2 linked regions of the Saccharomyces cerevisiae S288C genome follow. The protein of the gene in region 2 interacts with the protein of the main gene of each other region in a biochemical or structural test. Each region holds a gene or a part of one and is shown on either strand. Other genes may lie near its edges.

Region 1 (3,756 bases), on a different chromosome or scaffold from region 2:
TGAAGCAAAGACACATTGGTATGATTGCACTAGGTGGTACAATCGGTACTGGTCTTTTCGTTGGTATCTCCACTCCCTTGAGTAATGCTGGCCCTGTGGGGTCCCTGATTGCTTACATTTTCATGGGCACCATTGTCTACTTCGTTACCCAGTCACTTGGTGAGATGGCTACGTTTATCCCCGTGACATCATCTATCACTGTCTTTTCGAAGAGGTTCTTATCACCTGCATTCGGTGTTTCTAACGGCTACATGTACTGGTTCAATTGGGCTATTACTTATGCTGTGGAGGTTTCTGTCATTGGCCAAGTTATTGAATACTGGACAGATAAAGTTCCATTAGCGGCCTGGATTGCGATATTCTGGGTAATTATTACTTTGATGAATTTTTTCCCTGTCAAAGTTTATGGTGAATTTGAGTTCTGGGTGGCCTCTGTTAAAGTTTTAGCCATTATGGGTTACTTGATATATGCTTTGATTATTGTCTGCGGTGGATCCCACCAGGGCCCTATCGGTTTCAGGTACTGGAGAAATCCAGGAGCCTGGGGGCCAGGCATCATCTCCAGTGATAAAAGTGAAGGCCGTTTTCTCGGATGGGTCTCCTCCTTGATTAATGCTGCATTTACGTACCAAGGTACTGAACTGGTTGGGATCACCGCTGGTGAAGCGGCTAACCCAAGAAAGACCGTTCCAAGAGCTATCAATAAAGTCGTCTTTAGAATCGTACTATTCTATATTATGTCTTTGTTCTTTATTGGTCTACTGGTTCCATACAACGATTCCCGTTTATCTGCTAGTTCTGCTGTTATTGCATCATCACCCTTCGTTATTTCCATTCAAAACGCTGGTACTTATGCTCTTCCAGATATTTTCAACGCCGTGGTGTTGATTACTGTTGTATCTGCCGCTAATTCGAATGTTTACGTTGGTTCCCGTGTTCTTTACTCTTTAGCTAGGACTGGTAACGCACCAAAGCAATTTGGATACGTCACCAGACAGGGTGTTCCATATCTCGGTGTTGTTTGCACTGCTGCATTGGGTCTTTTGGCATTCCTGGTTGTCAATAACAATGCAAACACTGCATTTAACTGGTTGATCAACATTTCCACTTTGGCTGGGTTATGCGCCTGGTTATTCATCTCTTTGGCACATATTAGGTTCATGCAAGCTTTAAAGCACCGTGGTATTTCTCGTGATGATCTGCCCTTCAAGGCCAAATTGATGCCTTATGGTGCCTACTACGCAGCCTTTTTTGTCACCGTCATCATATTCATCCAAGGGTTCCAAGCGTTCTGTCCGTTCAAAGTTTCTGAGTTTTTCACATCTTACATCTCCTTGATTCTTTTAGCCGTTGTGTTCATTGGTTGCCAGATATACTACAAATGCAGATTTATTTGGAAGCTAGAAGATATTGACATCGATTCCGACAGAAGAGAAATCGAAGCAATTATTTGGGAAGACGACGAGCCTAAGAATTTATGGGAGAAATTCTGGGCTGCTGTTGCATAGTCACAGAACCTCTTGCATGCCTTCAAAATAGAAAAAAATAAAAAAATAGACGTTTCATTAATCAAAATAGCCTGTAGAGATTTTGAGGGATTGCCCCAAACTTTATGTATAATATCACCACTTATTATTCACTATTCATAGTATGTTACATCATAAGGCCATTGTCACCTTCGGCCAGCGATAGTACTCAAATCTATAATAAATTTTCCATATTATCCTTTACGTACTTGATAGCGTGTATAACAGGGTCATTATTCACGATATGTTCAACTGTTGTCATTTTCGTGTTATTGCACTGAAACAAAAGAACCCTACCAAAAAATTCGTTAGAGAAAAACTAAAAGTACAAGATCTTATACTGAAGACCCTTCATTTTTTAGGCCCAACTTCTATATTAAGAAGATCCCTGGACCCTGCTAGAAATTTTCAATTAGCTTATCATTTTTCTTCATTGCGAGCGTTCGTTTTCATTAAGCATTCGTTCTCTTCACTATGCATAAAGCATCCAGTTCAAAGAAAAGCTTTGATGATACTATTGAACTAAAAAAAAATGAACAATTACTGAAACTGATCAACTCTAGTGAATTCACCCTTCACAATTGTGTGGAGTTACTGTGCAAACACTCCGAAAATATTGGTATACATTACTATTTATGTCAGAAATTGGCCACATTTCCTCACAGCGAACTACAGTTCTATATTCCCCAACTAGTACAGGTCCTCGTCACCATGGAGACAGAATCAATGGCTTTAGAAGATTTACTATTAAGGTTGAGGGCGGAAAACCCTCATTTTGCACTACTGACGTTTTGGCAGTTACAAGCGTTACTAACGGATTTATCTACTGACCCCGCTTCTTATGGCTTCCAAGTGGCTAGAAGAGTCTTAAACAACTTACAAACCAATCTCTTTAACACAAGTTCAGGTAGCGATAAAAATGTTAAAATACATGAAAACGTTGCACCGGCCTTAGTTCTTTCCTCTATGATAATGTCGGCTATAGCATTCCCCCAATTAAGCGAAGTGACCAAACCATTAGTGGAATCTCAAGGTAGAAGACAAAAAGCTTTCGTTTTTAAGTTGGCTAGAAGTGCAATGAAAGATTTTACCAAGAACATGACCTTGAAAAATACCCTACTAAACAAGAAAACTTCCAGATCCAAAAGAGTTAGCTCAAATCGCAGTTCAACTCCGACTTCTCCAATAGATTTAATAGATCCAATAAAAACTAAAGAAGATGCATCCTTCAGGAAATCCAGACATAGTGAGGTAAAATTGGATTTCGACATTGTGGATGATATAGGTAACCAGGTCTTTGAAGAAAGAATCTCATCTTCAATCAAACTCCCAAAACGTAAACCTAAGTATTTGGATAATTCATACGTTCATAGGACATATGATGGCAAAAATATAAACAGGGACGGAAGCATTTCAAATACCGCAAAGGCTCTCGATGGAAATAAAGGTGATTATATTTCTCCAAAGGGACGTAATGATGAAAATAATGAGATTGGTAACAATGAAGATGAAACTGGTGGTGAAACGGAGGAGGACGCGGACGCTTTAAACTCTGATCACTTCACCAGTTCTATGCCAGATCTGCATAATATTCAACCAAGGACTTCTTCTGCTTCATCTGCTTCTTTAGAAGGGACACCTAAGTTAAACAGGACCAATTCCCAACCCCTTTCGCGCCAGGCATTCAAAAACAGTAAAAAAGCGAATTCTTCTTTGAGTCAAGAAATTGACTTGTCGCAATTATCGACCACTTCAAAAATAAAAATGTTAAAAGCAAATTATTTTCGTTGCGAGACACAATTTGCCATTGCGCTAGAAACAATATCTCAAAGGCTAGCTCGAGTACCGACAGAAGCTAGATTGAGTGCCTTACGAGCCGAGTTGTTTCTATTAAACAGGGACCTACCAGCGGAAGTAGATATCCCCACTTTATTGCCTCCAAATAAAAAAGGAAAGTTACATAAATTAGTGACCATTACTGCTAATGAGGCACAAGTTTTGAACTCTGCAGAAAAAGTTCCATATTTACTCCTGATAGAATACTTGAGAGACGAATTTGATTTTGACCCAACAAGTGAAACCAATGAAAGATTATTAAAGAAGATCAGTGGTAATCAGGGAGGCTTGATATTTGATTTAAATTACATGAATAGAAAAGAAAACAACGAAAATAGAAATGAAAGTACTCTTACTAGCAACAACACTCGATCTTCGGTATATGATAGTAACT
Region 2 (3,756 bases):
GGCGCATTTTCAATTGTACCTTCTTGAGAGATACCATCTTTAGCGTTGCCAATCATAAAGTTACTCGATTGGGGTTGCAATTTCAAAGACATTGACTTAGGGACTGCTAATAAGAACACTAAGTTGGAGATCGGTGACGAACTTAAGTTTGTAAAGAACGATTTTATCCTTATAACTGAGTTTGACTCCCTAGATATTTCGAACTCAATCTTCAAGTTAGGAGACTGATTGACTAGGGTTCTTGCGGGCGCAGTAGTAGTACCTGTTGTTGGATTAAATCCCATCAAAAGATCGAACCCACTACTGTTTACTGCTTGGGAATTAGTTGGCGATTGAGGAGTTGAAAGTCCCAAAAGATCTAAAGTGTTGTTCGAGTTGTTAGTAGTAGTAACTGGTGGTGCGGGTTGAGAGGACCCCAACACGATATCGCCTCCCAGACCAAAGGATGCTTGGTTAGCGGTTGAAGGGTTCGAAATAGATAAATCGGTCAAATCGCCCAATAAGTCATTGACAGATGTTTCCGCTGCTGCTGGTGTACCCGTGCCGTTGGTATTGTTGTTGCCTTGAGAGGGCGCTTCGTCCAAATCATTGAAATCGATTAAGTTGATTTCATTCGTTAAAGCACCAGAAGATTGTTGTAACGGAGCAGAAACATGACTTGGATGTATCTGCGAAGCAGCGTTGGAGTCACCGTTTTTCAATAAGTTGAATTTTTCCAATAGTTGATTAACTGTATCATTAAACTTCAATAGATCCTGCACTAACGCATCGTCTTCCTGTTCTTCCTCAATGATCTTTTGAAATTTTGGTTGAGCTACCTTTAATGCACTGTGAAGTTCTTGTGTAGTTTCGTTATCCCAGTTTTGTGAGTCAGGTGATTCCAGCATTTCATTCAGCAAATCGGCTTTACGCTTCAATTTGTTCAATTCACTGGAAATAGCCTGTTTAGCTTGAACGGCATTGTCTTCTTTGAACCCTGCCATGATTTTCATTAATTTGTTAGCTTCCCTCAAATCTTCAGGTTTACCACGCCTGATCAATTCTTCGAGTTTTGCAGCTTGAGCAATTTCCTGCTCCTTTTGAATTTCACTAGCGGTCTTCAATTGATTACTAGGCTTCAAAACTGCTAGGTCGGATTCACTGATTTTGGGGAATGCATAACCCTTATATTTCAACAAACGGTGCATGTCTCTAATATAACCCATATCATTCTTGTAGCTTGAGTGTTTACAAATTGTTTGATACCATTCTTCAATAGCAGTTAAAATCAATCTCTGAATCTTAGAATAACGTAATGGTGGGTGACCTGGAAATCTCTTGACCAGTTCATTCAAAAATTCCTTTCTAGAAATTTGCAAGTGGAATGGGTATCCACAATTCTTGACAAGCACGTCTAATAGAGATAACGCGAATATTGCCACGTGCGATTCTCTATTGTTGATCAGTTTAGCAAGTGCAATGGCAGCATCCCTAGGGGCAGCGCCCTGTTTTTCATTAATGTAGTCAGCAATGTCAAGATTCAACGCCAAGTCTGGTTCAGCAAGTGACATTCTGCAAGCTCTTTGAATCTTCCTCAAAAGAGGATTGCCCAAGGCTTGAGGTTTCCTGACGGGCAACTCAGACAAATATATGCTATGTGAGTGCGGATGGGACATGATGCAGTATCACGATTAGCAATTCAGCTATGAGTTATGTTGCTCTTTGTTTTGTTTATGGAAATTGTCCTATGGTAAGTCTCTTTTTTTTGCAATCGTGATTACAGAAAAAAAACAGGGCGCTGGAAAAGTGAAGAATCCGAAATTTTTTTCGAAATCACCATTGTTTGTTTTGAGTAGATCAAAGTCTTGAAAGGTGCAGCAAGATATAGGATCTTGACCTGAAGAGTATTGATAACGAACTACATCACATATTGTATCAAATAATGAGTGCTGCCACTGCGACTGCTGCCCCTGTTCCTCCTCCTGTAGGGATATCCAATCTTCCCAACCAGCGTTATAAAATTGTTAATGAAGAAGGTGGTACATTCACCGTGATGTTATGTGGTGAGAGCGGATTGGGTAAAACTACATTTATTAATACCTTATTTCAGACTGTCTTGAAAAGGGCAGATGGTCAGCAACACCGCCAAGAACCCATCAGAAAGACTGTAGAAATCGACATCACAAGAGCTTTGCTGGAAGAGAAGCATTTCGAATTACGCGTTAATGTCATCGACACCCCAGGTTTTGGAGATAACGTGAATAACAACAAAGCCTGGCAACCATTGGTGGATTTTATTGATGATCAACACGATTCTTATATGCGTCAAGAGCAGCAACCGTACCGTACTAAGAAATTTGACTTGAGAGTTCATGCCGTTCTGTACTTCATCAGGCCCACTGGACATGGTTTAAAGCCAATTGACATTGAGACTATGAAGAGATTGTCAACCAGAGCCAATCTGATTCCAGTTATTGCGAAAGCTGATACATTGACTGCCCAAGAATTACAACAGTTCAAGTCCAGAATCAGGCAAGTAATAGAAGCTCAAGAAATTCGTATTTTCACGCCTCCATTAGACGCTGATTCTAAGGAAGATGCCAAAAGTGGCAGTAATCCAGATTCTGCCGCTGTTGAACATGCAAGACAGTTGATAGAAGCAATGCCATTTGCCATAGTAGGGTCTGAAAAAAAATTTGACAATGGGCAAGGCACTCAGGTAGTTGCAAGGAAGTATCCTTGGGGACTTGTGGAAATCGAAAACGATTCTCATTGTGATTTCCGTAAGCTCAGAGCCCTGTTACTGAGGACTTATCTATTAGATTTGATTTCTACCACCCAAGAAATGCATTACGAAACATACAGAAGATTAAGACTTGAGGGTCACGAGAACACCGGGGAGGGGAATGAAGATTTCACTCTTCCAGCAATTGCACCAGCAAGGAAATTGTCACACAATCCTAGATACAAAGAAGAAGAAAATGCATTGAAGAAGTATTTCACTGACCAAGTCAAAGCTGAGGAGCAAAGATTTAGACAATGGGAGCAAAACATTGTTAACGAAAGAATCAGACTGAACGGTGACTTGGAAGAAATTCAAGGAAAGGTAAAAAAACTAGAAGAGCAGGTCAAAAGCTTGCAAGTAAAAAAATCCCATTTAAAATGATGATTAATTAATGTCTTCCTCTTTGTCTCGTCAATTTCAACGCCTATCTCTTTGTCTCTTCTTTTGTCGCAGCAATACGCACATATATATATGTATCTTATAAAAATATTTCAAATATATCTCAAAAAACATAGAATACGTAACACAATCGAACAGTAAAAACAAAAATAAACCGGTTTTTTCACGTTACTCTTGGGCACTTAGGTACCGTTCTGCATCCAAAGCAGCAATGCATCCGGAACCAGCAGAAGTAACTGCTTGTCTATACCTAGAGTCCTGAACGTCACCTGCAGCAAAAAAACCTGGCACAGAAGTCAGAGACGATCCAGGCACAGTTTTTATATACCCCGTCTCTTCTTCATCTACTTGTCCTTTAACTATATCTGTGGCAGGGCTGTGACCTATTGCGTAAAATAGTCCATTTACTTCTAAATCGTTCTCCACATTACTTTTAGTATTCTTAATTCTCAACATATTCAATAACTTACCATCACCCTTAGCTTCTAATGCAACTGTGTTGAACAAAACAATGATGTTTGGATTTTTCTCAATTCGTCTCTGCATTATTACAGATGCACGAAAATGATCCTTTCTTACTAATATATATACTT

Evidence for each region. The genes of interacting proteins can lie anywhere in the genome.
Region 1: the proteins of GGA2 (region 2) and PIK1 form a complex in vitro, tested with the Saccharomyces cerevisiae proteins (2 studies listed by BioGRID).

What each region holds. Positions count from the first base shown.
Region 1 is NC_001146.8:138,878-142,633, forward strand, and holds the start of PIK1 (1-phosphatidylinositol 4-kinase), read left to right. Parts: upstream 1-2,000; coding exon 2,001-3,756. Other genes in the region: LYP1 (lysine permease), read left to right, coding at 1-1,508. UniProt on the Saccharomyces cerevisiae protein: Acts on phosphatidylinositol (PI) in the first committed step in the production of the second messenger inositol 1,4,5,-trisphosphate. PIK1 is part of a nuclear phosphoinositide cycle and could control cytokinesis through the actin cytoskeleton.
Region 2 is NC_001140.6:326,202-329,957, reverse strand, and holds the start of GGA2 (phosphatidylinositol 4-phosphate-binding protein), read right to left. Parts: upstream 1,656-3,756; coding exon 1-1,655. Other genes in the region: septin CDC12, read left to right, coding at 1,922-3,145; thioredoxin-disulfide reductase TRR2, read right to left, coding at 3,332-3,756. UniProt on the Saccharomyces cerevisiae protein: May play a role in the regulation of membrane traffic through the trans-Golgi network.